Linked DNA regions of Cricetulus griseus. The protein of the gene in region 3 interacts with the protein of the main gene of each other region in a pairwise test. Links are inferred from orthologs where the notes say so. Each region holds a gene or a part of one and is shown on either strand. Other genes may lie near its edges.

What was found.
Region 1: the proteins of Kifc3 (region 3) and CUNH1orf109 interact in binary tests that used the Homo sapiens proteins (3 or more experiments, as listed by UniProt). The two-hybrid records come from large-scale screens. The link is inferred for Cricetulus griseus from reciprocal best matches to the Homo sapiens genes KIFC3 and AIRIM.
Region 2: the proteins of Kifc3 (region 3) and Cdr2 interact in binary tests that used the Homo sapiens proteins (3 or more experiments, as listed by UniProt). The two-hybrid records come from large-scale screens. The link is inferred for Cricetulus griseus from reciprocal best matches to the Homo sapiens genes KIFC3 and CDR2.

What each region holds. Positions count from the first base shown.
Region 1 is NC_048595.1:28,109,096-28,119,239, reverse strand, and holds the end of CUNH1orf109 (uncharacterized protein C1orf109 homolog), read left to right. Parts: intron 1-1,178; exon of another isoform or gene 1,179-1,181; coding exon 1,182-1,456; intron 1,457-3,119; coding exon 3,120-3,299; intron 3,300-5,223; coding exon 5,224-5,342; intron 5,343-5,476; coding exon 5,477-5,556; 3' UTR 5,557-6,945; downstream 6,946-10,144. UniProt on the Homo sapiens protein: Part of the 55LCC heterohexameric ATPase complex which is chromatin-associated and promotes replisome proteostasis to maintain replication fork progression and genome stability.
Region 2 is NC_048596.1:79,698,074-79,709,288, forward strand, and holds the end of Cdr2 (cerebellar degeneration-related protein 2), read left to right. Parts: intron 1-2,514; coding exon 2,515-2,663; intron 2,664-2,910; coding exon 2,911-3,075; intron 3,076-4,452; coding exon 4,453-5,314; 3' UTR 5,315-6,229; downstream 6,230-11,215.
Region 3 is NC_048596.1:171,331,974-171,343,088, reverse strand, and holds part of Kifc3 (kinesin-like protein KIFC3), read left to right. Parts: intron 1-2,640; 5' UTR 2,641-2,679; coding exon 2,680-2,845; intron 2,846-5,460; coding exon 5,461-5,603; intron 5,604-11,115. UniProt on the Homo sapiens protein: Minus-end microtubule-dependent motor protein. Involved in apically targeted transport. Required for zonula adherens maintenance.

The DNA.
Region 1 (10,144 bases), on a different chromosome or scaffold from region 3:
ACACACACACACACACACACACACACGAGAGTAGGAATGTAACACTGTCTGGCCTGGAACTCTCTATGTAGACCAGGTTGCCTCTATCTCAGAGACCTGTCTGTCTCTTGACTCCTCAGTGCTGGAATAAAGGTGTATGCTACCACGCCCAGCCTAAAGTTACTATTAATTTTTTGTTTGTATTTTGAGACAAGGTTTCTCTGTATTGTTTTGGAGCCTGTCCTGGAACTCGCTCTGGAGACCAGACTGGCCTCGAACTCACAGAGATCGGCCTGCCTCTGTACCCTGAGTGCTGGGATTAAAGGCGTGTGCCACCAACGCCCTGCTTTTTTTTAAAAGTTATTTTTAATACAGGCTTAAGGACGAGGCTTAAGAGAGAGGCACCTAGACAGAAAATAAAAGACACTTGCAGGCTACTCAAAAAATTAAGTATGAAATAGCGAAGTGGGTGTGGGCTTCTCAGGGAGAGGCTGCAATTGATTGTCTTAACATTAACCATGTATAACTTTGTTGACTTTCAAGATATATCTCAAGAGGGTTTCTTAAAAAAAAAAAAACGTGGGGGCTGGAGAGATGGCTCAGAGGTTAAGCGAACTGACTGTTCTTCCAGAGGTCCTGAGTTCAATTCCCAGCAACCACATGGTGGCTCACAACCATCTATAATGAGATCTGGCACCCTCTTCTAACAAGCAGGCATAAACATAATAAATAAATAAATCTAAAAAAGTCCGAAAAACAAAAAAGCAAACCAACAACTTGTTATTACCTCTCTCTCTTCTTTTTATAAGTGAAGTGGTTTCTGAATTATAATCTAATAAAGTGAAACCAGGAGCTACTTTGGTTGTCAAGGGGTAGTACTCTGCTTTCTCTGTAAATGGGATTTCTGGTGAGATTTCTACAAGATTGAAGGTTTACATCTGGGAAGGGAGGAAGGCCTTCAGCAGTTGGTAATTGGACTGCTGGGAGTATTCTCACTTCTTTGTTGACCAGAGGCATCAACCTGCTTCCAGGATGAGGAGGGCCCGTTCTTTTTCACATCCCCCAAAGTCTTCCTACCTTTCTATATTGCCTTAGGACTATTTTAAGATCAAAAGCTGGCCTCATGAGGTCAGAAATGACTCGCCCTTGAACCAGGCCCTCCCCTTCTGGTACCCTGACTCTTGGTTTTGTCTTCCCAGAAGATGGCTCAAGACCAGCCTTTGCTGGCTGTGCAAGAGGTCCTGAGGAAGTGCTTCCCTGTGGTGCAGGAGCAGCAGGACTTGTGGCAAAGCACTCTTCAGGGCTGCTCGTCCCTCCTCTCCTCTCTCAGCAACCTGGCTGAGCAGCTGCAGGCTTCACAGAATCTGAGGTTTGAGGACGTGCCGGCCCTTCGTCCCTTCCCAGACTTACAGGAGCGGCTGAGGCGCAAGCAACTGGAGGCTGGCGACATTGTCCTGGACAAGCTAGCTGAGAGGCTGTAAGAGACTCTGTGGCCCGCTTTCTTGGTAGAAAGATCTTAAAGCTTCATGACATCCCATCCCCAATCAGGGTGGGCCTACAAAAGTTACAAAAGCAAGCTGGTCATTCGGGGGAGTAAGGTTGAAGGACTGTGAGTTTGAGGCCAGCCTGGGCTATGTTATAAGACCTTGTCTCAAAAACAAACATACAAACAAAATATCAGGTCGAGTGTGGTGGCGCATGTCTTTAAACTGAGGGTAGTCAGGAGGCAGAAGCAGGCAGGACTCAGAGAAACCCTGTCTCATAAAAAAAAAAACGAATGAAAAAAATAACCCCAAACCAACTAAATAAACAAAAGTAATTACAAAAGCAGAAAAGAAGGGGACTGGAGAAAATGTAGTTTTCTGTAGTTGTCTTTAGTATGCTGTAGGGTTGGTAAGTGCTAGAAATAAGGGCTTTGTGTATGTTACCTTATACACCTCTGGCTTAACCCTGTTCATACACCTGGAAGCACAAAAACGGAAAGTCAAATAGATGTCTGATCACATAGCCAGTGAGGGATAGAGTGGGGATTCTGAAGTGTGTTTACCACATTAGCTGTGGCTTTCTACCAGGCTTTGTTCTACACATAGGTGGATACATGTGTAACTGAAACAGCCCACCAAACAGTAACACAGGTGTTGCGCTGATACTTTGTTTACTGTTTGTTTTATTACTGTTCATCACAGTCTTTAAGCTAGACTCAAAACTTGGCAGGTTTTGGATTGTTTCCTGTTTTTACACAGTTGGACATTTTAGAGCCCCAATTCGGGGCTAGGGGATTCTTTGGCCTTTGGAAAGTTACAGCCCTTGTCTTGGTTCCTTAGAGTTATAATACCTAAGCAGCCAGTGGTGCATGCCTTTAATCCCAGCACCCTGACTGAAACCCTCCTCCAAAAAAAAAAAGAAAGAAAGAAAAAGAAGAAGAATACCTAGGCACTACCAAAATCACTTTTCCTTCTTCTTCTTCTTTTTTTTTTTTAACCCCAAGACAGGGTTTCTCTGTGTATCCGTGGCTGTCCTGGAATTCGCTCTGTAGACCAGGGTGGCCTCAAACTCACAGAGATGCACCTGCTTCTGCCTCCTGAGTGCTGGGGTTAAAGGCGTGCGCCGCCACCACCATCACGGGTACAAAAGCACTTTCTACACATCATCATTATTTCTCTTTCTCATTCACTGCTACACTGACTGTGTGTGCTGTGTGTGTGCTCCTGTTCTTGGGAGACACAGTGAGCAAAGGAGCCTTTATATAAGGATTAACTCACTTTCCCCAGCAGTCTGCACCCCATCTACGCTGTCATTCAAGAACTGGATTAAAAAAGGGTAGTCAAGATGGCTCAGTCCCCAGATGGTTCAATCTCCAGAACCCACAGAAAGATGGAAGGACAGAATGGACACCACAAAGTAGCCCCCTGACCTTCACACACAAGTGCTGTGGCATGTGTGCCCCTTCCCACCATATGTAATTAAAAAGAATTTGCAAAGTGGGACTGGGGTGTAGCTCAGTGGTAGACCGCTTCCCAGGAGTGTCTGAGGGTTTGAATGCCCTCTGAAACAAAACCTCCAAATGTCAGTAGTGGTGAAAGGAGCCTTACCTCCTCCCTTTTTTTGAGATACTGTCCAAAATTCCACTTTTCCCACAGAGCCACCCTCCTCAAGGTTCGAGACACCATCAGCAGCCATGTGGAGCGGGTGTTTCAGACCTACGAGCAGCATTCGGCTGCACTTGACATGGATGCTGTCCTGCAGCCCTCAGTTGTGAGCCCCTCTGTGGCTGACATGTTGGAGTGGCTGCAAGACATCGACAGACATTATCGAAGCTCATATCCTTGAGTGCATCCAGACTGCTCAGAGCTGCTCCAGCAGCCTTTGCTGGTTCACATCTCACAAGATCAGCAGGCTGTACAGTTTGCTGCAGTTCTCTTTAGAGCTCAAACTTGGGTTCTTCCTGCATTTGTTTGTGTATTTTAATAGTCACTCCTTACAGTTTAGCTGCTAGGCACTGCTGTGAGTGCTGAGAGGCAGGCATGAGAAGGGGAATGTGTGCTGTCAGATGTGGTGAGTGCTAAGAACAAAGCAGGGAGACAAGGTAGGAAGGGTGGGCTGTGGGTTTTTTTTTCTCGAGACAGGGTTTCTCTGTGTAGTCCTGGCTGTCCTGGCCTCTGTCTCCAGAGTGTCAGGGTTAAAGGTGTATACCACCACCACCCAGCTTGGGGTTGTGATTTTAATAGTGTCAAACAGGCACCCATGAGGCAGCGATGGGTATGACATTTGAGCAAAGTTTTGAAAGAGTGAAGGAATGAGCCATGTGGATATTTGGGAGAAGAATGGTCCAGGCAGAAGGTACATGGAGTGAAAAGGCCTGTGCGGGAGCATGCCTGGTATATTTTGGACATAGCCATGAGGTCTGTGTAATGAGGGCAGGGCATGAGGATAGTGACATGGGACCTTGGTTTTTTGAGAAGGATTTTTTGTTTGTTTGTTTGTTTTGTTTGTTTTGGTTTTTCGAGACAGGGTTTCTGTGTAGCTTTTGAGCCTATCCTGGCACTCGTTCTGGAGACCAGGCTGGCCTCGAACTCAGAGATCCACCTGCCTCTGCCTCCCAAATGCTGGGATTAAAGGCTTGCGCCACCAACGCCCAGCTGGGTTTTGGCTGTTCTTTTGAGATGAATGTTCTCAGAAGATTTTAAGCAGAATAGTGTGGCCAAGGCTTATGCTTAGCATTCATGAGGAGGTCAGAGGATAACTTAACAGAATGGGTTCTCTCCTTCCACCATATGGCTCCCATTTAGTTCATTGGATTTGGCAGCAAGCACCTTCACCCAGTGAACCATCTTGGCAGCCCCTGGCATGGATGCTTAATCCTGTATCCCCTCCTGACTTTCCTCTATCTCCAGATTCTCTCTCTGAGCTGTCTGTGGTTATGTACCACAGTCATCTTCATGAGGTCTAGGTCTAGTTGTGTTCAACCAGGAGTTGTCAGCTCTTCTGTTGCTGGTGGGGTAGGGCTCAGAATCCCTACCTTGTCCTCCACTGCTGCCTTTATACTGGCTGAAGCCACCTTTCAACTACTTTCTACTTTAGCCAACCGTGTCAGGACACTGGGAGGCTTGCAGTGCCAGTCCACTCCATGCTTCCTCTGCCCTGTGCCTTTGTTTCTCTGTTTCTTCCAGTGGTGTGTTCATCTGAACTGCCAGACTTTTGTTTTTGTGTTTGTTACCATTTTGATTTCTCTAAATAGTGCTGGGATTAAAGGCGTGGGCCTCTACAGCTGACTAGAACTGCCACTGAGTTGTTTTGTTTTGTTATTTTTTTAATAATGTATTTACTTTTATTTTATGTGCATTGGTGTTTTGCCTGCATGTATGTCTGTGTATTTTGCCGGCATGTATGTCTTAATAACCATGTATGTCTCAGATCTTGAAGTTACAGATAGCTGTTAGCTGCCATGTGGGTGCTGGGAACTTGTGTTCTCTGTTAGAGCAGTCGATGCTTTTAACCACTGAGCCATCACTCCAGTCCCCTGTCACTGAGTTTTATCTTTCAAGTCACTTTGCTCTTCTGTCTGGTCCACCCTCAGCCTGTGAGATCCGAGTCCCTTTCCTAGTAGCATCAAGTTGTACTGCGGTACTGGTGCTCATCATTCCTCTTGGCACTGGTGAACCCTGCCCACCTGGGAAGGTATATTGATGTCACTTTTAGCTTCCCAGATTTCCTTTTTTTGAACAGTCCTTAACTTCTGGGAAGGTACCTGAAGAGAAAATACCTCCTTTCCTCCATCCACTGGGGAGACTTGGCCAGCATCCAAGCACTGCCTAAGGCCTGGAACCAAATTTCAGAAGATGAGTGCCAAACCCTTGTGCCAGGTACTGGTTTCCATTAGTTCCCCATGCTGCCTCCCTATCCCTGTTGCTGCTTGCCTCTTTGGAGGTGTTAGAGACAACCCTGCTGTGCTTTGGGGCCTTAATAACCCTGTCTTGTACCCCTCTTCCTGTTCTAGATATCCTGGTGAGCGTCTCCTTCTTCCTGGAGGAGCCAGGATGCTGCACAGTGTCTGGAGATCAGGAGTCCCGCAGTTGAGTGCAGCCCTCAGCTTTCTAAGTGAACCTCAGCACCACAGCCTGATGGACTGAGACACCAGTTCCTATGGTAGAGGTCCCTAGCATGACTTCTTGCTAGGCCATGGCCAAGGATCCATGACCACTGCACCTGCGGCTCTGGGAGGTGGATGGGGTGGAGGAAACAGGAAAGGCAGCGCTGATAAGCGGTGTCCATCGCTATCAGTAGGCTTGAAGTGGCAAGGAAGGAAAGGACAGGAGGCAAAGGTCCACAGCTGCCTCCGCCTCTGCGTCAGCTGAAGCACTTTGGTTGACTCAGGTCTTGGTTATGTGTGTATCACTATCTTGAGTCCTTAGTGGTTTAAAGATAGGAGTGGGTCTAGGAGTGAAGGGCAGTAGCAGTGTGTGTGTTGCACACATGAAGCCCGATTCAATCCAAAAAAGGGACGGATTGAAGGAAAGGGAGCATTTAAAATGTTTATCCCTTCCCAGTAGGAATCAAGCCAATTTCCATTTCCAAAGCCAGCCACCAGGGGGAGATGGTGCAGCGTGAGCGGTTCTGAATGCTTTGTCCTGGAGAGGTCCCCTGTTGCTGTTAAAAGTAACTGAGGGGGGCTGGAGAGATGGCTCAGCAATTAAGAACACTGGCTGCTTTTGAGGACCCACATGGCAGCTCACAACTGTCTGTAACACCAGCTCCAGGGGATCTGACACCTTCACACCAATGCACATAAAAGAAATAAGTTAAATAAAGTTAAAAAAAAAAAAGTAACTTAGTGCTGGGAATATCAAACCCACCACTGGTGAGGCAAATACAGGTGAGCTCTGTGATTTTGAGATCATCCTGGTCTACATAGCCTCCAGACTAACCAAGACTACATACTGAGGTGCTGTCTCAAAAAAAAAAAAAAAAAAAAAAAAAAAGGAAAAAAAAAGGAAAAAGAAAAGCGGGAAAGAAAGAAGTTAACTGAGAAGAGTGATACTACTACTCAGATCCAGGGTTGTGACCTCTCATTGGCTATATTCTTCTGGGTTTGGAGTGACTGCTCAGGTAGGCAAATATGCCAGCTGATTAGTTGGCATATGCCATTGATTGTTAGTTGTGATTGATTGTTTGACCTGGGGAGGGAGTCTCAACAAGGAATGTTGTAGATTTGGGTGGCCTGCAGGCAAGCCTGCAGAATTTTCTTAATTGTGGTGAAAAGAGCCATCCTGAATGTGGTGTCATTTCATGGCTGGGCCCTAGATGGAATGAGAGAGCAGGCTGAGCACTAGCAGACATGCATTAATCCATTGTTCTTTACCATGGGTGTCATGTGACCAGCTGCTCCAAGTGCTTGCAGCCTTGATGTTTCTGCAATGATGGACTGTACCCTCAAATTATGAGCCTAATAAACCCTTTCTCCCTTCAGTTGCACTTGTCTGTGTTTTAGGGTTCTCTAAAGGAACAGAACTGATAGAATACATACATATATATGGGGGGGAAGAGAGGGAGGGAGGGGGATATTGGAGTGAGAGGGAGGGCAGGCAAGCCTAATGCAAAAGCTTTCTTCTTCCATGTGCTTTTATGTGGTCCAGACTTGGGATGGGTCTTCCCACCTCAAATGATCCAGATTTAGGGTGGGTCTTCCCACCCCTAATGATCCAGTCAAGAAAATCCCTCACAGACATGCCCAGTTGCGTGGGTTTTGGGTTTTAGTTGATTCCAGCTGTGGTCAAGTTGACAGCCAAGATTGGCCATCATACACAGTAACAGGAAATAAGCTGAGAAGCAGCCTTGAGTCATTGATCAGAGCCATACTCACCCTCTGTGCAGTGGCCACTTGCCTTGGGATCCCAGCTGGTAGAAGTCAAGGCTGCCATGAACAGGACTTAATACAGAGGATGGATACATTTAAAAAGAAAGTGGCTTTGTTTAGTTTTGTTTGAAACAGATACTTAATGGTGTTTGGTAATAACTTACTTAAATAGAATTGTTCTTTTTTTCTTCACTCTTTTGTTTATTTGTTTTTTGTTTTTCCCACAGGGTTTCAGGGTTTCTCTGTAGCTTTGGAATCTGTCCTGGAACTCACTCTGTAGACCAGGCTGGCTTCAAATTCACAGAGATCCACCTGCTTCTGCCTCCTGAGTGCTTAGATTAAAGGCGTGCACCATCACAGCCTGGCTGTTTTCTTCACTCTTAGTTTTTCTACTAAAAATGCTATCTTTTCTCTTTTTTTCTTTTACTAAGAATGCATTTAAGTTCCTGATGCCTGTGGAGGCCAGAGGAGGGCTTTGGATCTCCTAGAACTAAAGCTATAGATGGTTGTAAGCTGCCATGTGGGTGCTGGGAACTGAACCTGAGTCTTCTGCTAGAACAGCAAGTGCCCTAAACCACTGAGACAGCTCTCCAGTCCCTAAAATGACAACCTTTTCATTATTTTGGATAAAATAAATATGATTTACTTGTTGAATAAGGTACACATAACCTAAAGTGTAAAATGTACACAGATATATTTAGTGAAAAATTTTCCCCCATCTGCCCACTTCTCTTCATTGCAGACAGCCATTGCTAAGTGCTCTGGTGTCTCTGGAATGGTGGGTATTCTCTGAAGTGGTCCCTGGTGACCCCACCTCTAATATTCATGGCCTTGTGTACTCCTTGCCTTTTGATGGGGGCCTCTCTGTAGCTCCGCTGCTAATGGGTAGAATAGTGAGAGTCACTTCTGGGAATAGACTATAAAGAGCACACTTCTGTCTTGGCTGCTGCCCCTTGCTCTGTCTTACATCTCCCACTTTTGGGGACGTCAGCCAAAACTTCGTATTTCCACCTAGTAGAGAGACATGGGAGAGTTCTGTGCTGGACAACACCATGTGAAGGAGCTTGGAAATGTCCTCCCTGCACTGGTTGAACCTTTAGACGGGTCCACAGCTCCACATGACAGCCTAGCCTCATAAGGACCTGAGCTAAAAATGCCAGCAGAGCTGTGCTTGGATTCCTGGCACATGCAAGTGGAAAAATTATTTAAATCATGTATGCTTAAGGGAACTTTCCTCCCACAGCAGCATATAGCTGACATAGGAAACAACAGTTTTGAGTTTTGTTTTTTTCATTGTTTTAGTGAATATAGTGACATATACCCACTTTTTTTTTTTTTTTCCCCCCGAGACAGGGTTTCTCTGTGTGTAGCTTTGGAGCCTATCCTGGCACTCGCTCTGGAGACCAGGCTGGCCTCGAACTCACAGAGATCTGCCTGCCTCTGCCTCCTGAGTGCTGGGATTAAAGACGTGTGCCACCAACGCCCGGCTACATATACCCACTTTTATATCTGTTTTTTTCCCACTGTACCTTGGAATTTGTTCTGTGTAAATATATAACTTCCTTAAAATATTTGAAACAGTTACAGAGTCTGGGAGATGGCTCAGTTGGTAAAGAGCCTCTGCTCAAGCATGAGAGCCTGAGATTGGATCCCTGGCATCCACATAAGAGCTAGGCATGGTGGCACACCTCAGTTTAGTGAATTAGTAAGTTCCAGGATCAGAGTGAAACCCTGTCTCAAAAAACAAGATGGAGAACAATAGAGGATGACATCTAACTAGATCTCTGGCCTCCTCAAGCACATGCATGGGCACACATCTAAATATACGTGCAAGAATGCCATTACATAGTTTGGTGTTGTATTCCCACAATTTATTGCTTTCCTCTTACTGATGGACATTCAGCCTGTTTCCAAAGTCAGCTTTCTCTGAGCTTCCATGTTTATTCATTATACTATTTGTTCCCCAATACTTTAGATGGGAAGCAAAGGGGAATTAAAGCCATGGCCTGGAACATGCTAAACAAGCACTCTGCCACTGAGCACCATCCCCAGTCCTGGAGTTTTTATTTAATCTTATGCCTTACGACAACAACAAAAATCTGTTAATGTTTTCCCTGGGATTATCAAATTTAAAGTAATTTGGGGAAAACCAAATTACTTTAGCCCCAGTAAAGCTCTTTGTTTGGGGGCACTACTGGGTGATGGAGTGAGTTCTTTAACATGTCTCTCAGTTGGTGACAACCTTCCCTGCAACTGTGAGCCATAGTCTAGTCCAGGAAAATAAAGAAAGTTGACTTTCCTGTCTCTACTCCATCCACATTCAGAAATTGACCTGAAGATAGTTTCAGGGCTGGAAATGGCTCCACGGGTAAAGTGCTGACCTGAGCTCTCATCCCCCTGGGCAGTCATATCTTTATAACCCCATCACTGGGAGGTGGAAACGAGGACATGAGCTATGGCCGGGCGATCCAGAGCCAATCGCTGAACTCCGGATTCAGTAGAGACTATCTCAAAACTGAAAGTGGAAAGCCCGGAGGTGGTGGTGCACACCTCTTATCCCAAGCACTCGGGAAGCAGAGGCAAGCCTGGTCTACAGCGCTAGTTCTAGAACACAGAGAAACCCCATCTAGAAAAACAAAACAAAATGGAGCCAGGTGTGGTGGTATATGCCTTTAATCTCTAATCCAGCACCCAGTCTGCTCTATGATTGGAGTTCCAGGGCTACATAAAAGAGACCCTGTCTCAAACAAACAAAACAAAATCTTAGTGGAGAGTGACCTGTTTTTCACATATGTATACATGCACCACATA
Region 2 (11,215 bases), about 92 Mb from region 3:
CATGGCAGCAAGTGCCCTTGCCACGGAGCCATCTTACCACCCCTGTCATATATATTCTTTTGACCCTAAGCCCTCTTTACCCAGTAGAGTATTCCTAAGAAATTAAACACATTCCTGTGGATGACGGGAAACTGCTGTGTCATTGCTAGCCAGGAGCAGAACCAAGAGCTTTCTCCTACAGATCTGAAAAGACTTCTTGTCACAAGTTGAGTAGTTGTTTTCCAAAGGACCAAGAGAAACTTACAGAAGTATGGGCAGTGAAGAAGAAATGCACTCTATAGATACCATGCTTCGTGTTAACTTAGCTCATTTAATCATGTTAATTCTAGCAGTTATTAACATCTACAACCCTATACCACTTCAGAACCCCAGAAGTTCTACTGAGATCTTATCCCTTAAATTTACATCAATTTATTTGCTAGCAAATCATTAACCAATCCGAGGCTGTTTGTAATCTTTATACTTTTTGATGTGGAAGTATCAATGCTTAATTACAGAGTCCTGCCCAGACCTCACAGGAGTGTTAATAAAGCATAAGTTATAAATTCTATGGTTTGTTTGGGAATGGTGATGGTGGTGTTAATTCAAAGAATTTTTCAGAACACTTTTGGCTTTGGGAGATTCCCGTGAGAAAGTTGAAGATAAAGAGGAGTTGTTTATTCTGTATATATGTTATGTAAGCATCTGAAAAGGGACCATGTCATATCACTGAGTATCATTGAGTTCTGTGTTTTGAAAGAAGACTGTTGAAGCCTGTCATAGTGGTACACAGTTGTACTCCCAGCACTAGGAGGCAAGTCCGGACCACCAAAGGTCAGAGCTGGCCTGGCTGGAGATATTATGACAGACTTTGTCTCAAAAAGCAAAGGTCATGGTGGTAGCATGTCAGTGCACACCTTTAATCCCAGAACCCGGGAGGCAGAATCAGGTGGATCTCTTAATTCAAGGCTAGCCTGATCTACAGAGTGAATTCCAGGACAGGCAGGGCTACACAGAGAAACCCTGTCTCGGGGAAGAAAAAAAAAAGTCACTTGGCCCTGATGTAAAATACCTCAAGAAGTGTTTTTAAAGTCAAGTCTGCCACCGTGTGATTATACTTAAAACCTCATTTTTTTTTCCTTTTCTGGTTGTATCCAGAGAATAGCAGCAGGAATGTTCTGTTTGGAATATATGCTACACTTTACAGTGTGTTGGGTGGAACTGGCTAGGGAGGAAATCCAGGTGACCTAACTCTGGCATTAAGATTGTGCTTATTCCCCTTATCCTTGGTCTTCAGAAAGCAGTCTTAGCAGGACCAAAATAAATAACCTGGTAAGTGTCTTGTGACTAGGATAGTGGAGATGGCATTCTTATAGGCCAAAATAATGACGTTATGATATCAAAGTGTACCTGGTAAAATTAATGCATTTTTCACTGGTTTGTTTCTGAAATGCCTCACTCAGGAAAAAAAGATTTTTATTTTATTTTGCAAGTGAAAATCATCAACATTTTCTTCCACATTAAACTTTTTCTTTTGGTTAAACATTTTTTTAAACCTTTTCTGTTCTTTAAAGATTTGTTATTTTTATCTGTATGAATCTTATGCTTGAGTATGTGTATACGCCTGATGCTGCAGAAGTAGAAGGACCAGGTCCCCTGGGTGGTGGTAAGCTGCTGAGTGGATGCTGGAAACTGAACCCATGTCCTCTGCATGAACAAGTTCTCTTAACCGCCAATCCATCTCTCCAGTGCCTATTAAACATTTTATTTAAACTTTCATTGTGTTTTTCCCAAGATTTTCTTCTTGTGGGATTATCAAACTTCACTTTGGGTTTTGTTTGTTTGTTTGTTTGTTTGTTTGTTTGTTTTTTGAGACAGGGTTTCTCTGTGTCTTTGGAGGCTGTCCTGGAACTAGCTCTTGTAGAACAGGCTGGCCTCGAACTTACAGAGATCCACCTGTCTCTGCCTCCCGAGTGCTGGAACTAAAGCGTATGCCAACACCACCTGGCTTGGGTTTGCTTTTTGAATATTAAGCATATATTTTGTAAAATTAAACAAACTTCATTAATATTGGAGTATTATAAAGCATTAATGGAGCTAAACACATCAAGGATAGCTTGTGCCTGTTTCTTATTTAAAAAGTGGTTTTTATTGGGATTTAAAATTCTCTTTTCCACTAAAAAACCCAGTGATACTGTGGTATAATATAAAGTTCACATTTGGTCTTTGTCCCTCATTCCTGGTATAAAACTCTTCTAAAACCCCTGTTATCCTGAGTAATAAATAATAGGATGAGGAATGACCACATTATTAGAGGGTTGCAGTGGCTAGCCAGAAGCAGGCAGGCAGACCATCAAGGCTATGGAAGCTTCTGTGCTGGCAAACACATCACCATGCTGGGAGAGTGCTTAGCCCACAGGTGGAAGCTCTAAGCCCTCACCTGGCATTAGGTGGTATGGGAGAGCCAGAGAATCAGTATTGAAGCATGCAGGCTATCTTATCTGTTTGCATCACCTTGATATTCTTCTTTTTCAGTATCTGACCAAACAGGTAGAGCTTCTACGGCAAATGAATGAGCAGCATGCAAAAGTTTATGAGCAGTTAGATGTCACAGCAAGAGAACTGGAAGAAACCAACCAGAAGCTAGTTGCTGAGAGCAAAGCCTCACAACAAAAAATCATAAGGTAAAATTTCTGTTACTGAGGGCAATCTACAAAGGAGTTATTTAGCAACTAATTTGAAGTAGAATGTGCTGTTGAGGGTTTGGGCAGTATTGGACAAAGGTTCATTATTTTAGGGGAATGGGGATTAATTTTAAGTCCTTTTCAATTAAGAAAGGCAAGTTTGAGTGGCTCACACCTAATCCCCCTTCATTGGTTTTGATCTTAATTTAATGTGACAAGCAGCAACCAGCTTGTGTCTTATTCACAGCCTGACGGAAACAATTGAATGCCTGCAAACAAACATTGATCACCTCCAAAGCCAAGTGGAGGAGCTGAAGTCTTCCAACCAAGGAAGAGGGAGGCAGAAGACATGTGACCGGGAGAAACCAGCACCCAGCTTCTCCTGTCTGAAAGAGCTGTATGACCTCCGCCAGTAAGAGCCTGCCTTGTTGTGGATTTTCAAGCTGGGAATATCCCATGTCATTGATACACTCTGGATTACCATAGATGAAAAGCTCCATTTCAAGAAGTGCCCCTTGCCTGTTAAGCCATTAGTAGTTTAAACAAAGCCACTGAACTTAAATGTAACAGTGAAAGTTTATTGGCATCTATAATTCTTTTCATTTTAATCTGTTAAATATTAGTTTAAAATTAGTAATACTTCTGCTACAGTATAGATTTGGGGGATATATTTCACATTAGACTGAAAGAAAAAAATGAAAATTTTGGAAGCTGGGTGTGATGGTGCATGCCTCTAATCCCAAAACTTAGGAAGCATGGGCAGACTCTATGAGTTTGAGGCCAAAACATAGCAAGTTCTAGGACAGCCAGGACTATGGAGAAGAGACCTTGTCTCAAAAGAAAAGAAGACAAATTTTGGTAGAACAAAAATTGAGGCAAAAAAGTATTTTCACCTAAAAAAAGTGCCCTTATAATTTGTAGTTATGAATTTGAGTCTTTAATAAATACTTACTAAACACCTGTTAACACTGCAGTTGATGTGCCAGTCATCAGGAATGATGGCCAAAGTAGACATGACCTTTCAAGAAGTCAGATGCTCCACAACCAAAAAATTGCACTCAAGCTGCCTAAGATGGGATAGGAGAGGCCAGTTAATGTTTCTCCCCCTTTACTTTTTGTCACACTACTTATAGAGATTTGAGGCTTTTGAGATAAGATCTCATACAGCCCAGCTGGCCTCAAACTCCTGATCCCCCTGCCTCCATCTTCCAAGTGCTGACATTGCATGTGTGTACCTGGCACTGTGGATGTTTTCCAAGAGCAGATACTAACTCTCAGGTCAGAATTTCTTGGCATGAACCTAAAGCTGTCCCAGTGCTGCTGATGTGTATCCCTAGTTAAAAGTCTAAACATCATGTTTCTTAACCTTGGCCACACATTATGGAGAACAAACATTTAAAACCATGTAGATCCAAGTAGCAAACCAACAAGGTCAGAATGAATGGTGTGAGCTCCAGGTTTTTAAAACTACCCAGCTGTTTGTGATCTGCAACTAGAGATGAGACTCTTCTTGTCCATCACATTTCTTGTAAGCAGCTGTCATTCTGCTGGTTTACAAGTGAGTTTTCTAAACTACTTTTACTATTCAGGGGGTGGGGATCAGTCACAAAATTGTTATTTGCTTTCAAGAATTTTCCAGCCTCATATAGTTTAATTTTAGCCACTGCTTGTAGCATTGAATGAGCTAAAAATTGGTGTCACAGCTCTTTAAAAAGATTTAGTTTAAAAACCCCAGCAACTTCCTTTGTACCATCAATTGACATTTAATTATTTCCATATTTCCTCATAGACACTTTGTATATGACCACGTGTTTGCTGAGAAGATCACTTCCTTGCAAAGCCAACAAAGCCCTGATGAAGAAGAAAATGAGCACCTGAAAAAGACAGTGACAATGTTGCAGGCACAGCTGAGCCTAGAGAGGAAGAAGCGAGTGAGCGTGGAGGCAGAGTATAAGGTGGTACTGAAGGAGAACTGTGAACTAGAGCAGCAGCTGGGTGCCACAGATGCCTACCGAGCCCGAGCACTGGAGTTGGAGGCAGAGGTGGCTGAGATGCGGCAGATGCTGCAGTCAGAGCATCCTTTTGTGAATGGTGTTGAGAAGCTGGTACCCGACTCTCTGTTTGTTCCTTTCAAGGAGCCCAGCCAGAGCCTGCTGGAAGAGATGTTCCTAGCTGCTCCAGAAGCACATAAAAAACCACTCAAGCGCAGCAGCAGTGAGACGATGCTTAGCAGCATGTTAGGGGGTGATATCGTGAAGGGCCATGAAGAGACTTGCATCAGGAGAGCTAAGGCTGTGAAGCAGAGGGGTATCTCCCTTCTGCATGAAGTGGACACTCAGTACAGTGCCCTGAAAGTGAAGTATGAAGAACTACTGAAGAAGTGCCAGCAGGAGCAGGACTCACTGTCACACAAGGCTGTGCAGACCTCTAAGCTGCCGGCCAGGGACCTGACAGGACTGGTAACCCAGTCTGAGGCTGGAGCCAGTGGCTGGGAACCCACTCCTGTTACCCCAGAGCCCATCAGTTCCCCCACCACTACACCTCCAGAATACAAAGCACTATTTAAGGAGATATTTAGTTGCATCAAGAAAACAAAGCAGGAAATAGATGAACAGAGAACAAAATACCCATCTCTCTCTCCTTACTCTTAATGATACCTCCAGTTATGATCTGCTGGTTTTCTCTCATCCCCTCCCATTCAGACACATAAGCGCAATTTCCAAAGCTTCATGTTGCTAAAGATACTTGTCTCATTGCTTTGCTTAATTGGCAAAAGCGGGAAGAGAGATGGCTGATAATGTTGACTCTAGGGTCCCTAGGAAGTCTCATGATAGACTGGCCTCTGGTTGGTGCATTGATTAGGTTGACCTCCAGGAAAAGCCCTAGAACCAGTGGAGGGGGATCCATGTAGCTGGGGTAGGCTAAAGCACCAACAGTGTGGGGCAAAAGACAGAATTGGAACAAGACTAAGGCTGTTCCTATTGCTTCCATACTCAGCTTCTCAAACTACTTGGAACTCCATGGTCTGCTTAATTAACTAAAATGCTTTTCAGAAACACCCATTCCAAAGAATGTTGAGAAAGCTGAAATCTAATTGGAAATATGACATTAACAAGCTCCTTAAACCCCTAAGTTTTGTTGCATCTGCTACCAGTTGAACGATGACTGACAGGTAATCCTAATATTTCCAAATTCAAATGAATGCCAGTTGAAATGGCAAGTTTTGTTTTGATTAATGCCTATTGGTATATGCCGAGCATTCAGCTGTTTTACTCAAATCTATATGTAGTATTCTGTTTTCAAATAGAAACTAAAGGAGAAATGTTAAGGTGTGATCTGCGCTGACCACTTGGCAGCACAAGCTGCTCCTACTCAGTTCTTAACATTCCTAGACTTGCAGAAGTTCCTGTCTACTGCATTACACGGTATTGATGTTCTGACTGTGGAAACACTCTTCTCACTTGTACACTTTTAATTTAAAAATATTTAAGAGAACCATGGTTCTGATTGTTGTATATATTTTTCTAAAAGCCAAATAAAGCTATCTATGAATGTGAACAAATAAATTACTGCCTGTTTTAAGCTTAATGCCATTTTACAGTTGAAACAACTGGCTTTTCCCCAATAGATAGCTCTAGGGAATTTGAAAATAATTTCTCCTTATTTACTTTTAAGCAAGAAACCCTTGGGATTGTATAACTTAATATAAATTCTGTCCATGTTGCTAAATATTATGATTGAAAACATTTTCCAGGGACTGGAGAGGTGGCTCACAGGTTAAGAGCACTGGCTACTCTTCCAGAGGTCCTAAATTCACTTCCTAGCAACCACATGGTGGCTCACAACCATCAGTAATGAGATCTTGTGCCCTCTTCTGGTGTGTAGGCATATATGTGGGCCAAACACTGTATACATAATAAATACAATCTTAAAAAAAGAAAACATTTCCCACTATTTCAGAAGTGTCTGGCTTAGTTCTGAATTCATAGCATTTAACTATTTGGTTGTTAAAGCATCCAATCAGTTAATCATAGTTAAAAACTTTTCGATGTTTGACTATTGGGCTGGGACAAAGGCTCAGTTGAGTAAAGTGCTTGTGTAAAGACCAGAGTTCATGCCACAGCACCCGAGTAAAAGGTACGAGCATGGTGCATGTACATGCAATAGCACCCATGCTATTATGGGTATGGAGGCAGACACCAGCAGATCTCAAGGACTCACTGGCTCTAACCAATCGGTAAGTTCCAACTTCAAAACTCAAAAAATGAGAGCAAGCGCTACAGCAATATCTCAATGGTTCAATGGTTAAGAGTACACTGCTCAGCCGGGCGGTGGTGGCGCATGCCTTTAATCCCAGCACTTGGGAGGCAGTGGCAGACGGATCTCTGTGAGTTCGAGACCAGCCTGGTCTACAAGAGCTAGTTCCAGGACAGCCTCCAAAGCCACAGAGAAACCCTGTCTAGAAAAAAAAAAAAAAAAAGTACATTGCTCTTGCAGGGAACCCAGGTTAGTTCCCAGTACTGCCTGTAACTCCAGCTCCTGGTGATTGTAATGCTTCTGGCCTTGAGCACCTGCACACATACCTGTACACCTGTGCTTGCGTGTGAAAATACTGTCTTTTCATAGAAGAGTGATGATAGAGGAAGACATTTGATGTCAATGTCTGGTCCACAAATATATCAACACACACAATAACATTAGTCAAATATTATGATTATTGATTCTAAATTAGATGTGTTTTTGAATTAATTCTTAAAAGTTTTGTACTAGTGGCATGGATAAAGGAACTGAGTTCAATCCCCAGAATCCACATGGTGGAAGAGAACCAAGTGCCTGCCATAAGTTGTATTCTGATCTCCACACTGGTGGCACTTACATGCCCCTACATATACACTCATAAACAAAATGTAAAATAAAAATTTAATTCCATTTTTTGTTTTGGTTTGAAATGGGATTTTACTATATAGCTGTGGCTAACCTAAAACTCACTGTAGACCAAACTGGCCTTGAGCTTGCAGCACTTCTACCTGTCATGTACTAGGATCTGACTATCCACACCCAGCCTCCAGGTTTGTTTTTGAGATGGTCCCATGTAGCTGATGATGACCTTGAACTTCAAACTCCATTTCCCAAGTTGCTGGTGTTATCCTGTCTGGCCTATGCCGTAATGGGGATCGAACCCAGGACTCATGTTCGATAGGCAGGTAGTCGCCAACTAACCTTTTATGGAAAAGTCTTGTTTGTAGTCCAGACTGACCTCACGCTGCTGGTGATCTTCCTGCTTTAGTCTTTCAAGTGCTGGGATTACAAGTATGTACTGCTACTTACAGCTTTCCTGACTACCAACCCAGCTCTTCCCAAAAATCAGCCTACGTATATAATATATATATGTGTGTGTGTGTGTGTGTGTGTGTACATAAACATAATATATATATATATATATATATATATGTATATGTATATGTATATTCCTTTATATTCTTCCCAGATAGGCATACACTAGCACAGCAATGTTTGTTACCCCACATTTAAAAACAAAACTATTGTAAATACTGTATCTTAATGACAGCTATAGTGTCACAGCCTCTATGAGGAGATGGTTTCTCTTCTACAATTACTAAAAATGTAATGGATACATTTGAACATCAAAGTGAAAGTGAAAAGATGAGAGCACTTTGGCATCACTGAACTGTCATACTTCGGGTAACTCCATATTAGGATGCCTGGTGTCTCAAACCCATGCCAATAAGCTTTTAATTTTCTGAGAAAGGGTGTCATGATGTTGCTGAGGCTGTCCAATAAACTTTACTATTAATCTAATAGGAAGATGGTGTTTTCTTAAAAGCTTATATTTACATTTGTCTTATACAACTTGATAAAGTTGTATATTCTTTGGTTTTGGTTTAATTTGTGCTTTTTTGTTGTTTGCTTTTGAGACAGGGCCACCTCACATAGCCCTGTCTGGCCTGGAATTTGCTCTGTAGACCAGGCTGGCCTCTCTCTGCTGGCCTCTGCCTCCAAAGGTGTGTGCCACTGCTGGAAGAGTTGAATATTCCTGCTGTTAGCCATTTGTATTCTCCTTTGCCTGTTTGTTAAAGAGCATTAGTACTTAGGAAGCATACTTTTGCAGTTGAAGATTGCAAATATTTTCTTTGAATATCTTATTTTACTTTTAGTGGAAGTTTGCCAAACAAATTTATAACCATGTTTCTTGACTACAAATTTATAACCATGTTTCTTGACAAGTGCCTTGAATGATTTGTCCCTTCTGTTCCATATTTCTATCCATCTGAACTGTTCCCCACCAAATGAAATGCTACTCATGAATTTGAACCAATTTATACTCTAGGGTCTGATTTTCATATGTATAGGTCAATTTAATGGCTATATTTAGATATTTATATTTTTTATAACTGAAAGGGAAAATGGAATTTCTTTCATAGAATTTTTCCAGATTTGGCAGGGGAGGTGGCATGTTTTTCTCTAAAGTTGTCTAGTTCTTTTTTTTGTTTTTCGAGACAGAGTTTCTCTGTGGCTTTGGAGGCTGCCCTGGAACTAGCTCTTGTAGACCAGGCTCGTCTCGAACTCAAAGAGATGCGCCTGCCTCTGCCTCCCAAGTGCTGGGATTAAAGGCGTGCGCCACCAATGTCCAGCCTTGTCTAGTTCTTGAATGGAAGTATTTATTTATTGGGGTTGGGTTTTTTTTTGTTTAGTTTAGTTTTGTTTTAAAGACTTGGTTTTTGTTATTTGTAGCCCTGGCTGTCCTGGGACACCATATGTAGACCAGGGTGGTCTCAGACTCAGAGATCCACCTGTCTCTGTCTCCTGAGTGCTGGGATTAAAGATGTGTGCCACCATACCCAGTTAAAGATTTATTTAATGTGTATGAGTATTTCATCTTCAACATGCATTGTCCACAGAGGCCAAAAGAGGGGACTGGATCACCTGGAACTTGATATCCATTGTTGTGTGCCATCATGTGGATGCTGGGAACAGAACGTGGGTATTTTGCAAGAGCAACAAGTGTTCTGAGCCATCCCTCCAGACCCTTGAAGTTAGTTTTGTCTCTGCCGTTCCTGACTTGGGTTTCTCTGTGTAATAGCCCTGCTGTCCTGGAACTTGATTTGCAGATCAGGGTGGCCTCAAACTCAAGAGATATGCCAGACTGTGCCTCCTGAGTGCTGGGATTACAAGCATGTCACCACTGCCCAATTTGAAATCAGTTTTTACAATTACTTTGTGTTTGCCTGCATGTATGTCTCTACCATGTATGTGCCTGGTGCCCAATGAGACCAAAAGATGGTGTCATCCCTCAGAAGTGCGGTAACAGATTGTTGTGAGCCACCATGTGGGGGTGCTGGGAATTGAACACCAGTTCTCTGAAGAACAGCTAGTGCTTTAACTGCTGAACCATCTATCTCTTCAGCCTGAGGTCAGTTTGTTTTGTTTTGATTTTTTTTTTTTCTTGGTTTCTTGAGACAAGGTTTCTCTGTGTAGCCCTGGCTGTCCTGAAACTAACTCTGTAGACCAGGCTAGCTTCAGACTCGGAAATCCACCTGATACAGGGACACCTCTCAAATTTTGCACGTTTTGAAACATTTCTCTGTAGGCTTGTAGCTACTGTTGCATATGAGAAGCTAATGATTCTGGCTGTGTTGTTGAATGATTAGGAGTAGCTTTTACATGGTAGTTCTGAAAAAATAATTTTAACTAATTGATTTTTTTAACTCAGATCTAACTCTTGTCTAACTTGTTTACCTAGAGTACCATAATTGTGATGAGTAAACATACGTGTCAGTCTCTAAAGTGTATGGATACTGTTCTATTAGTTATGGTGCTGGGCTTCTGTTCAGTCAATAATATAAAATAAAAATATTTTAATTTATACCAAGTCGATTTGTATCTAATTAGACAAAATTTTACTTCCACTTTTCCCCTTTATCGTGTACATGTATATATCTTTTCCTCTTTTAGTCACACAAAGTAACATACTGTCATATACTTTGTATATTACCTAAAATGTCTCTTGCCAAATTCTCAGCATACTATTTCTTTCCCAGAAGTCCTGATGTTGTAGATTACTTCACCCGACACAACTGCAGTTTTTACTCTGATCTACATCTATGTATTTCTCTCATCCCTGGTAACCACCATTTTGTTGTTGTTGTTGTTGTTGTTATTTTTGGTTTTTCGAGACAGGGTTTCTCTGTATAGCTTTGGAGACTGTCCTGGAACTAGCTCTGTAGACCAGGCTGGCCTCAAACTCACAGATATCCACCTGCTTCTGTCTCCCAAGTGCTGGGATTAAAGGTATGCGCCACCACTGCCTGGCTGCTATACAGGTCTTATGTTTAGGTGTTTATCCATTTTGAGTTTTTAAATATTTTAAATAAAAGGGCATGGGTGTTTTGTCTTGTGTCTGTCTGTGCACCACCATATGCATGCAATGTTCATGGAGGCCAGAAGAGAGCATTGGATCCCCTGGGACTGGGGTTACAAATGGTTGTGAGCCACCATGTGAGTACTGGCAATTGAACCCAGGCTGGCCTCGA
Region 3 (11,115 bases):
TATACATGGAGGTGATAAGACAAAGACTAGGTGATTAATTCTCATAGGTGGCAGGGCCAAGGCCTGGACCACTCTCATAGATCTACTCCATGAATTCCAGATTAGTAGAGGCTCCAGGACCCCAGATAAGACACCTGTGTAGGAGAGCCTGCGCTGCTGTCTCGGTGTAGAACCCTGGGCTTGATTGAGATTCCCTGATATTCCTGACCTCACACCAGGGTTTCCAGCTGCTAAATTCAGCTGCCTTTTCCTCTTGGGGATCTAGCACACACCCTTCCTCTTTCTTCAGGCTGCCTCTCCAACTTCCCGTCCTGCTGGCACAGAAATATGGTCTCCAGCCTCTACCTCCTAGACTGAGCTGATGTCCCCTAGAATCAATCCTCTGTCCTACGTGGTCTCCCCTGTAGGAGCACCTGCAGAGGACGGTCCTCTCATCATCCCCCGTTGGCTATAGGGTTGGCTCTATGCCCAGCTCTGTGCCAGTCAGCCTGGAGAGGACATTTGTATCCATTCTTCTTGCTTCTTCCCCCTTACACACATCTCAAGGCATCAGCGCTGTGAGGCTACTTATATGGGTCAGCATCTTCCTTACCCTTTGTCCCACATTCCTGTCCCCCTCTCATTGTGTACCCCACATTGTCTTCAGTCAAGGAAGGAAGAGACCACGACCCCACTGTCTTCAGTACTTGACCCCGTGAGCATCAGTCTCTGACCCCAGACTCTTTCTTTTCTCCCCACCTTGCTTCTAGATGCTTTGTTCCTGCACCTCTGTCTACCCCACAATGCCACCTCTCCCCTGTCTCAGTTCCTCTCCTAACCATCGTCGCTAAACTTCCCCCAAAGAAGAAAACAGCTGCCTTCTAGGCCCTCTCCAATTCCTTGAGCCAATTTGAACTTGCTTTGCAGCCTAGGCTGGCCTAGAACCTGCAACCTTTGAGTGCTGGGATGGTAGGTATAACCCCCCACCCAGAATTCTCTAGGGCTTTCTTTGGCTTTGCCATGACCACCTGACTATCCTACTTATCTGCCCAGCTTCTTCTGAGGACTCTGTGCATGACATAGGCAGCTCCTGCCACCTCTCTGACCTCCTCCCTCTTCCAGTTACTGTTCCCACCCCTCCACGCCCTCTTCACCCCAGCCTTGTCCTTACTTAATACTGTCTCCCATCTTGGTCAACCTTGCTGATTTCGTCCTTACCTGTAGCAGTCGTGGCCTTTAGTTCTGAGTCTTAGTGGCTAGCCGGTCCTCCTTTCCTGGCTTTGGGGTGTGTGTGTGTGTGCGTGTGCGCGCGCGCGCGCGCGCGTGCGCACATGCATGCATGCATGCCTCTCACTCGCAGGGAGCCAGAGAGGGTGAGAGAGACAGACCCAGTTCAACACATGTTCTTGCTGCCTGGCAGGAGATGGTCAGTGCAGTGAGGGATGAGGAAACTGAAAGTGGTCCACAATCCAGGTAGCTCTGTAGGATGTCCCTTGGGTGTACAACTCCACGATGCCTCTTTAAGCTGAGTTTGCCTCTACAACTGGCATTGAAGCCTGAATCAAAGTCTGGCCAGCTCAAATGTTCTTGAGGCTACTCTGCACACAGTAGATACTCAAGAAAGACTTATGAGTGAGGAAGATGGTGATTCAAGGATTGCCTGGACTATATAGTGAGACCCTGCCTCAAATAACCAAACCCAAAACAAAAACTCCAAGTCCAAAAATTTATACTTGAGCTCTATCCATTTGTTCACTTCCTGCCCTGGACCGGCTTTCCTAGCACACTTCTCTAACCTCCCTGTAACCTGTTTGTACTGTGTAAATTCCTTTGTTCTTGAGATAGGGTTTCACTAGGTAGCCCTGGCTGGCCTGGAACTTGCTATGTGGACCAGGCTGGCCTTGAACTCATAGAGATCAGTGCCTCTGGAGTGCTGGGATTAAAGGCTTGCACCACCACTTCAATAATCCTTTACCTAACGCCGTGAAGATTTATTGAAGGTTTGTTCTCTTCTGACTGGACATTTGAGGACTCATTTCTCCTAATCAGATGACTTCTGCTAGAATCCAGCACATAGTAGGCACTCAATAAATGATATGAAACAGAACTGAATGGATGCCTGGCAGGGTGCCTGCCACACCCTCAGTACTTGAATGTGTGAATGAACTGGCTCTGAGAATTTACTGAATGTAAACCCAGCTTGCCCCTGGCCCTAAGCCAGCCCCTTCTGAGCCCCTCCTCAGTGAGATACTAATACTCAGGAGTTTTAGCTGTTGAGCCACTGGCAGCCCGAAGGCTGAGACTTAAGCAACCAGCTGAGTGCAATTAGAAAATGAGATGTCACGGAGGAAAAGGATTAAACTTACCACTGCTTGAAAGCATAGGCTTGGAGCTTCCTCCACGTGGAGCTGTTAGCCAGTGTGCCCCCTCGCAGGTCTTCACAGTGAGTGGCAGACACATTGACTCGCTCCTGGCCCACTCAGAAATGCCATAATCAGTTCCGAGCACCCTCCTGTGATCCCAGGGTCCTTAGGGTTGCTACACTTGGGGCTGCTATCCTAGGTTGCTGGGGACCCTTGTTTGCAGACCCTTCCAGATAGCACAACATGTGGGCTACCTACCCACTCTTCTTAAACTCCTTTCCCCTTGTTCTCCCCACAGGCTGCCCGGCACCCAGAAGAGGTTGCTGAGCCCCGGGCCATGGTCCCCTCTCGCAGGACGTGGAACTTGGGAGCCACGCCTTCACTGCGAGGCCTGTGGAGAGTGGGCCGGGTCCAGGAGCCCAAGCCTGGGATGGCTCGCCCCGCCCCAGCCAGCCCAGCCGCCCGCCCTTTCCCACACACCGGCCAGGGGAGGTTGAGAACTGGTGAGTCCGCATTTTTAGAATGCCTCTTCATTTCCCTTCCTTCCTCCAGATCCCAGAGATGAGACTGAGGTTTCTCGCGGTTCCTAAACTCAGTCAGAGCTGTCAGGTAATTACAGGGTAGCCAGCAGCTCAGAGCCGGCTGGGCGTGGAGCACAGCGCAGCAACAGCGTCACCGGGTGCTCCTTCCCTGCGTCCAGCCTGGGAGGAGGAGAAGGCTGGGGCGGGTTAAACTTTAACAGTCCATAGCACGGCGGCATCAGCGACGTTCCCGCCAGCCAAACCAGGTCAGGGACTCTGAGATCTCACTTGGGTGCTCTCTAATGTCAGCTGGAGGCCGGTAAACAAGGTAGGTGAAGCGGCTGACCTCCTGGGTGCCCTGCTCAGCACCCGACACCTGATTCTGTCAGGCTGCCCTGGTCAGGGGTGAGGAGTGAACGCAGGCTGCTCAGAGTATTACCCAGCAGACTTTGGATGCTAGGCCCTGGGTTTTAGGTGTCCGACAGCCAAAGAGGCTTTCAAAGCCATCCTATGAGCAGGTCTATATGGAGAGGGTCCTGGAGCCTGGGCCACTGCTGTACCCTAGGGAACTGTCAGCAGTCAGCTTTCTGGGTCATGTCCCAAGTGCTGAGACTGTCAAGGAGCCAGCGGCTTCTCTGCTCTGTGTAGGGGCTGAATGTGGGGGTGAGGAGCTGCTTTGACCCTTTCCCCAGCTCTGTGTGGGCAGGTAGGCAGGGTGCCCTGGTGGTGTGGGAAGGCAGGGTTATCCAGAAGAGCTGCCTTCAGGGGCGTGCTACCTTTTTGCTCCTGACCTACCTGGAGAAGTGTTCAGATGTACCAGCCTGGTCCTCTGGGCCATGAGACCATGGGGTGTGATCCCCTTAGTACACAGAAGAGGGGATACACTGAGGCTCAGAGAAGGCCAGTAACAAATTCCTTTCGTCTCCGTTTCTAACTGTAACACATTCACTATGGCAGGCAGTGCTTTGAAGCTCTGCAAGCTTCTATGATTGCCCCGGGCTGGCCACCCCCTGGCTCCTCTGCCAGGGAGCCTTCTGGCAGAGCAGGGGCTCTGTGGGTCAGTCAGAGTTGCTCGTTTGAAAGGGGCCAAGGATGGTCTCTACAAGGTTGTCCCCTGGGTGTGAGTGTAATAAAGATGAGTATGGTTTTTCTGGTAAAACAAAACAGAACATTTCACCTTGGAAAACTCACTAAGTTCATCTCTCTCTCTCTCTCTCTCTCTCTCTCTCTCTCTCTCTCTCTCTGTCTGTCTCTCTCTCTCTCTCTCACTCTCTCTCTCTCTCTCTCTGTGTGTGTGTGTGTATGAATGAAATGAGTACAGTGATTTTAGAAATTTCTGGCTGCTATAAACTTAGCTAAAGGTCTGGTGAAACCCATGTGTTACAGACAGGCACAGTCAGTCTTAGTCAACAAGTGCACCCCAGCCCTCTCCATATATCCCCCACTAGTCTTATTGTCATCCTGAGAGGGATGGTCAACCAGGGTTGATTGGCACATGGGGTCTGAATAGAAGCCCTGGGTGACACTAGGCATATTGTTAACTATTCAGGGTCTCAGTTTTCTGCCTGTTGGACAAGGGGGGGGGGTGTCCTCCACCTCTCTGGGTGGTTGTGATAGCAATGGATATCCTAATGGCTGATAGCTGTGGGTCCTTGCTGTGCCTTAGTCCTCATTGATCCTCAACATGGGTTATGCCCCCCCTTTTTTTAATGCAGGGTCTTACTTTGACTGCCTGGAACTTGCTTTGTAGACCAGGCTAGCTTTACAGAAATCTGCCTGTCTCTGCCTTCTGAGTGCTAGGATTAAAAGCATGTACCTGGTGGAAAAAACTTCCATTTATTGATTTTAGAATTTATTATTTTAGTTCAATTATGTTATGTGTATTTATCTGTGTGTAGATAAATGCATATGATGTAGGTACCTACAGAGTTCAGGAGTATTAGATCCCTTGGAGCTGGACCTATAGGCCATTGTGAACCACCCAGTGTGGGTGCTGGAAAACTCCAGTCCTTCGCAAAGAGCAGTATGTGCTCTGTGGCTGAGCCATCTCTCCAGCCTGTGGCTGTGCATTTTGACAGTTAGGCCAGTACTGTTTCCCACCTTTTGCAAGGGTGGGTGGGGGGTGTCCTATCCCAATAGAGGCTCTAGAGGATGCAGTTAGCTGTTTCTGGGTACAGCAGAGACCCATTGTGGGTTTGGTCTTAATGAAGGCAAGAGAGAAATTGCCACCTAGAGGCAGCCTGGGTAATATAGCTGTGTCCCCATGTACAGTCCACTCAGTGTCTTCTTCTTGCCTCTGTAGAGGAGCTGATGAACAAGTGTGGACCCCAAAAGCCACTGTGGCAACTGGGGAGCTCCCAGTAGGGTCTTATCTTCAGGAAAGAATTTCAGGGCCCCTTTTGGTAAGAGAATCAGATGGCCCCATCCTGTCCCTACCTGTGCTCCTGTGTGGAGAGAGCCTGTGAGGCCACATGAGGCCCTGCTGGCCACACCTGGACAGGTTGGAGGGGGCAAAGCTGAGCTCAGCTCACTTTGGCCAGTGGTCTTCAGCCAGCAGCCAAGTATGTCATTTCACCTGCCCGTCTGTCCTGGAACAGGGCGTGGAAAAGACACCCTGACTGGTGGTGAGGAAGACTCGAGCACCCGAACTGCAGCTCGCCCGTCCTTGGCACAGTGTCGGGCCCTCAGTGTGGACTGGCCTGGCCCTAGGAGTCCGCATAGACTCTACCTGACAGTCCAGGTAAGTGTGGGCCATCAGATGTAGGGCGAGGGTGAGTGTGGCCAGGGTGCTGGCTCCTCTGAGCTCCAGCAGTTAGGTCTGGTAGGGAGAAGAGCTGGGGACCTGCCAGGCACCTGTTGGCTAGCCTGTCACAGCTGAGAGCCTGCATGAATGCAGCAGGTTCCATCTCAGCTTATCTCATGGACGATCTCAGGAGGTGACAGGAGCTTTTCAGCCACACCCTGGCTGATGTGGGAAGTGAGGCCTTTGCTAAGATGTGTGGAGCTGGAAGAGATATTGGGAAAGCAGGCTGGTTTGGGGGAGCTGTTTATTTCTATGTAGGCAATGCCTGTGTTCCCTTGTTTGAAAAATCCAAGGGAACGCCAGGGTGGGCATGGTGCATGCCTTTAATCCTAAAGGAGGCAGAGGCAGGCAGAACTTTTCTGTGAGCTTGAGCCCAGCCTGGTCTACAAAGCAAGTTTAAGAGCAGGCAGGGATACAGAGAGACTGTCTCACAAAAGGGGGGAAAAAAGAGTCCAATGGAAGATGGTGGGGGGATGGGGAGATTCTTTTCCTCTGTAGTTGTCATTGACTTTCAAAAGGCATACTTACTATATGTATGGGGGAAGGCTTTGATTGCAGAAATAATACAAAGGGTTAGTGGGTTTTATTCAATGCTGTTTTGGAACATAGGCATTAGATCTCATGTCTCAACAGAAAGATACTGTTTTGTGTTGGTAGAATATTATTTTAAGGTGTGTGACTTTTGTTTATGCTGCATTTTTTTAATTCTGTGAAGCTGTGATTCTTTGCCTGTCTAAAACACCTGGTGGTCCTAATATAGAGCTGAACAGCCAATATCGAGGCAGGAGCAAGGATAGGTGGGGCTGGCAGGCAAAGAATAAAAATAGAAGGAGACCTGAGGAAGAGGAGGAAGGACAGAACAACGAGAGGACATCAGGGGACAGCTGCCCAGCCAGCCATGGAGTTAGAAAGATAAAAGCCCAGAGGGATCAGGTAGACAGGATAATTTAAGAAAAGCTGACGAGCAACAAGCCACGCTGAGGCCAGGCGTTCATAAGTAAGAATAAGGCTCCCTGTGTGACTTGTTTGGGAGCTGGGTGGAGGGCCCCCTCAAAAGGCAAAAGGCCAAAAGAGTAAAAACCATTTCAAAACAACAGTTTTGTATGGATTTTATAGATGAGGACGTGGAGGCTCACGCTCAGAGAGGTTAACTAACTTGCTGCTGGCCACACAGTAGGCTGAGATCTGAACTACTAGTAGAGCACAATTAGCTTGATTAGAACGGTGTAAAGAGGTGTAAAGGGTGGTGATGGTGCAAGCCTTTAATACCAGCACTTGGGAGGTAGAGGCAGGTGGATCTCTGAGTTTGAGTCCAGCTTGATCTACAGAGCAAATTCCAGGACAGCCAGGGCTACACAGAGAAACTCTGTCTCACCTCGACCCCAAAACACCCAAATGGTGTAAAGAATTCGAAGAATTCACAGTACAATTCCTAGAAGCTGTATGCCCCTCATGTCCTTCAATGTGTCCACTATGAAAGGTTCATCTTCACAGTTTTCTTCCTTGTACCACCACCAATCATATGGTTTCTGTATTTCCTTTGACATGTTCTATGACGTGCTGTTTCCCTCACAGTCATCTTGGAGACTTCTTTATACACATCAGTCATAGAGAACCACTTCCCTTCTCTGTCTACTGCATAACATTCTACTTGAGACTTTACCATAAACTTTAATTGGGCTGTGTGTATGTATGGTTTAGCATCAGAGCGCTGGTCTGGTTTGGATGCATGAAGAGGCCTTCGGTTCTTCCCATCACCACCGAATGAATGACGATGCTGGTGATGGTCAAATCCTCTGTATCTGCCCTGGGTGTTATCTCTGATTACAGTGAGCAATTCTGATGTTCAAGTAGTTATGACATTAGTATTTTGCACTCATTTTGTGTGTGTTTGTGGGAGTGGGTGAGGGTACATGGGTGTGGGTGCAGCAGAAGGGGCCTGTGGAGTTAGAGGACAACTTGTGGGAGTTGGCTCTCCTTCCACTGTGTAGGTTTCTGGGGATGGGAACTCAGGGCATCAAGTGCCTTTGTCCATTGAGCCATCTGGCTGGCCCACATTAGTTTGTTATTTGCTTTGTTTTGAAATAGGATCTCATTATTTAACCCCATCTAGCCTTAAACTCATAGAGATCTACCAACTCAGTCTCCTAAGTGCTGGAATTAAAGGCATGTGCCACCATGCCCAGCTGTATTAGTTTGGTATGGCATTTGTTTGCTTTTAGATTTATTTTTATGTTTGACTGTTTGCCTACATATATGTGTATGCACCATGTGCATACCTGGTACCTGCTGCCTGAGGATGCCAGAAGGAATAGATCCCTGTCACTACCTTTTGGGTGCTAGGAACCAAATCTAGGTTCTCTATAGATCTTCAGATCTGCAGACACTCAGGCCTAGAACTAGTTACCAACATGAATTCCCATACAGGTGCGGGGAACAGAACCTGGGTTCTCTACAACAGCAGCAAGGGCTGAGCCATCTCTCTAGCACCCATGTCTTACTTAGGGTTTCTATTGCTGCAACAAAACCATGGCCCAAAAGCAAGTTGGGGAAGAAAGGGTTTATTTGTTTACACTTCAGCATCACTGTTCATCACTGAAGGAAGTCAGGACAGGAACTCACACAGGGCAAGATCCTGGAAACGGGAGCTGATGCAGAGGCCTTGTAGGGCAGCTGCTTACTAGCTTGCTTCTCATGGCTTGATCAGCCCACCTTCTTATAGGACCAGCAGCCCAGGGACAGCCTCATCCAACATGGGCTATTGAGAAAATGCCTTGCAGATGGATCTTAAAGAGGCATTTTCTCAGCTGAGGTGGCTTCCTCTGATGGTGCTATATAGCCTGTATAGTACAGGCTACATTAGTGTATTTTTTTAAGATTTGTTTTTATTTTTATTTTTATATGCGTGTTTGGCTGCATATATGTCTGTGTACCACATGTACATCTGCTGCCTGTGGAGGCCTGAAGAGTGTATTGGATCTTCTCAGACTGGAGTTACTGATGGTCGTGAGCCACCATGTGGGTACTGGGAATTGAACCTGAGTCCTCTGGAAGAACAGCCAATGCCCTTACCTGCTAAGTGGTCTCTTCAGTCCTCCTGCATTAGTATTTTAATATGTGCATTTGCTGAACAGATATTTATGGATTGGCTGCCTTATGCCAATGCATCTAGCACAGGTGCAGGGATGATGAGAAGGGAAATAGGGAAGATAGCCCACCAGAGAGTCACCAGTGACCTCAAATGCATAAGCACCAATGGGAATACCAGGAACAAAACTTTAGAGAATGAAGTGCCAGTGTTATCTGGGGGTGTTGCCCAGATTTCCCTGAGAGAGGACTCAAAATCCCTCTGGCTTCTTTCTTTATATTTGTTAGACAGGGATTCCCTGTGTAGCCTTGGCTGGTGTGGAACCCAATGGCAGATACTGCTGCCTCATGTTCCCACATGCTGTGGTAGGAGGCATAAGCCACCATGCCTGGCTTTTCTCCCAGCTTCTTTGGCCTCATGCACATATCCTGCCCTCCTAAGTGGCCGCTGTGCATAGCCGGGATGAAGCAAGTGCAGATAGATGGTAGTCAGGATGGGCACTGGGGGAACATACACCTTTGAGCTGTCCTTCCTCTGGCTGCTGCAGCCCTGGGCCACTGCTCTGGGCAGGACCCCAAGGGCGATGGCACCTCAGCCACAGCCTGTGTTTCACCGTGTTTCTTTATTCTTGTGAGATTCTTCTGGGAGCTGAGCTGCCCATACTTTTGTCCTTTGTGAGGTCCCAGAGGGTCTGGTGAGACAACAGTTAAAGAAACCAGAGGGAAGTTAAATCGGGAGGCTGTGGTGAGGAGCTGCAGCTCAGCTGGGTGGTGGCCCTGTTCTTGAGCTTTGATTATGGGGTGCTGGGCTGTGGCTGCTATGGAGGCCTGGGCTCAGCAGTTCTGCTCACATTCCACTCAGAAGCTGATAGCCTCTGGCTTCCAAGTTCATGTCCTTCCGGCCCCTGCCGAACTCTGCCATGTTTATGGATATGGATATGTAACAAAGTGTGTCCCAAGCACAGTGAAGCGACCTGCAGGTCACAGAGTCAGTCACTCCAGCCTTGGTCCATCAGCTAAAGCCTGAGCTGTACCCCCAGAGGCAGTACAGAAATTCCCAGCCCCTGGGGACATCTGTCCTTCCTGTGCTTCGGCCAGCAGCCCAGAAATAGTGTAAACTTTGCTCCTGTCTGAAGGCAAATGGAAACTTCCAGCTGCTGCCATCCCTGCCTCCCCCACCTCCTCCAACCTGCTCAAGATGGTGTGACAGTTGAAGGGTGGGGACAAAATTTAACTAAGTAGAATTTTCCTAAATACGAAGATGAGGGGGAAAGAGGCTAAGGTCGTGGCTAACCAGGCACCTGCCCCGGCCACTTTTCACTCTTGCAATTCTCTTGATTGGCCTTTTGATGCTCAAGTAAGTGGAGACTAGAGAAATTATAAACTCACCACTGCTATCTATGTGGCACTTCTTGTAGGCCAGGCACCTTAAATGTGCTTTACTTGTGGCTGCCATTGGTTTGCCCACTGGCACAAGTGGGCAGAGGTTAGTGGTTCTAGATTGAGACTGTGGAAGGAAACTGAGGGAGGGTGCAGAATTTGTCCACAGCCACCCAGCACACAGGTGACATGCTGTCTCATTGGGCTTTGGCTTCCCTACTACCCTGAGCATTAAAGAAATGTATGTGGCACCTGGCCTAGAGTGTTGGCAGAAACCTTAAATCCCAGTAGTGAGGAGGCAGAGGCAGAGGCAGATAGATCTCTGTAAGATCCAGGCAGCCAGGGCTACAGAGTGAGACCCTGTGTATATAAAAGAGTCATACTTGACTTGAGAGGGCACAAAGACATAAAAGCTTCTTACCAGATGTTTCCGTGGACATAAACCAAACCCAACTGTGTTTATAAGGTGAAAACTTCAAACCCCAGATGTCTCCAGAATGACCAGGAAGACCCTGTCTGCTCATCACCTTGCCTTTTCTCCTGTGTTCTCCAAGTTTAAATTGCTTTTGTTTCTATCTCAGTGAGTCTCTGTGTATGTACACCCCACACTGAGCACACACGGAGCCTGTGAGATCTCCAGTTTCATTTTCACCTTTATCTTGTGTATGACCCTCAAATGGGATCACGCTTTCCCACACTGTTCTGACCCTTGCTCGGTGTCATTCTCTGGGGGCTACAGAGGATGTCTTTGAATGAAGCACCCCTTTCCCACTCCCCCACTTGTCCGCTCCAGCCCAGCTACCTTTGCCTCAGTTCCTGACCAGCACATGGGTTCACATTGCCCCTGGATAGCCTCATGGGACAGAGCCTGAAGGAGGCAGGGTAGTCATTTTCCTGGTCAGATGGACTCATGTGCAGCCTCTGAGTCCTGGGAGGGCCATCCTTAGGTGGAAGGCCGACTGCCAAGGTGTTGCAGCAAATG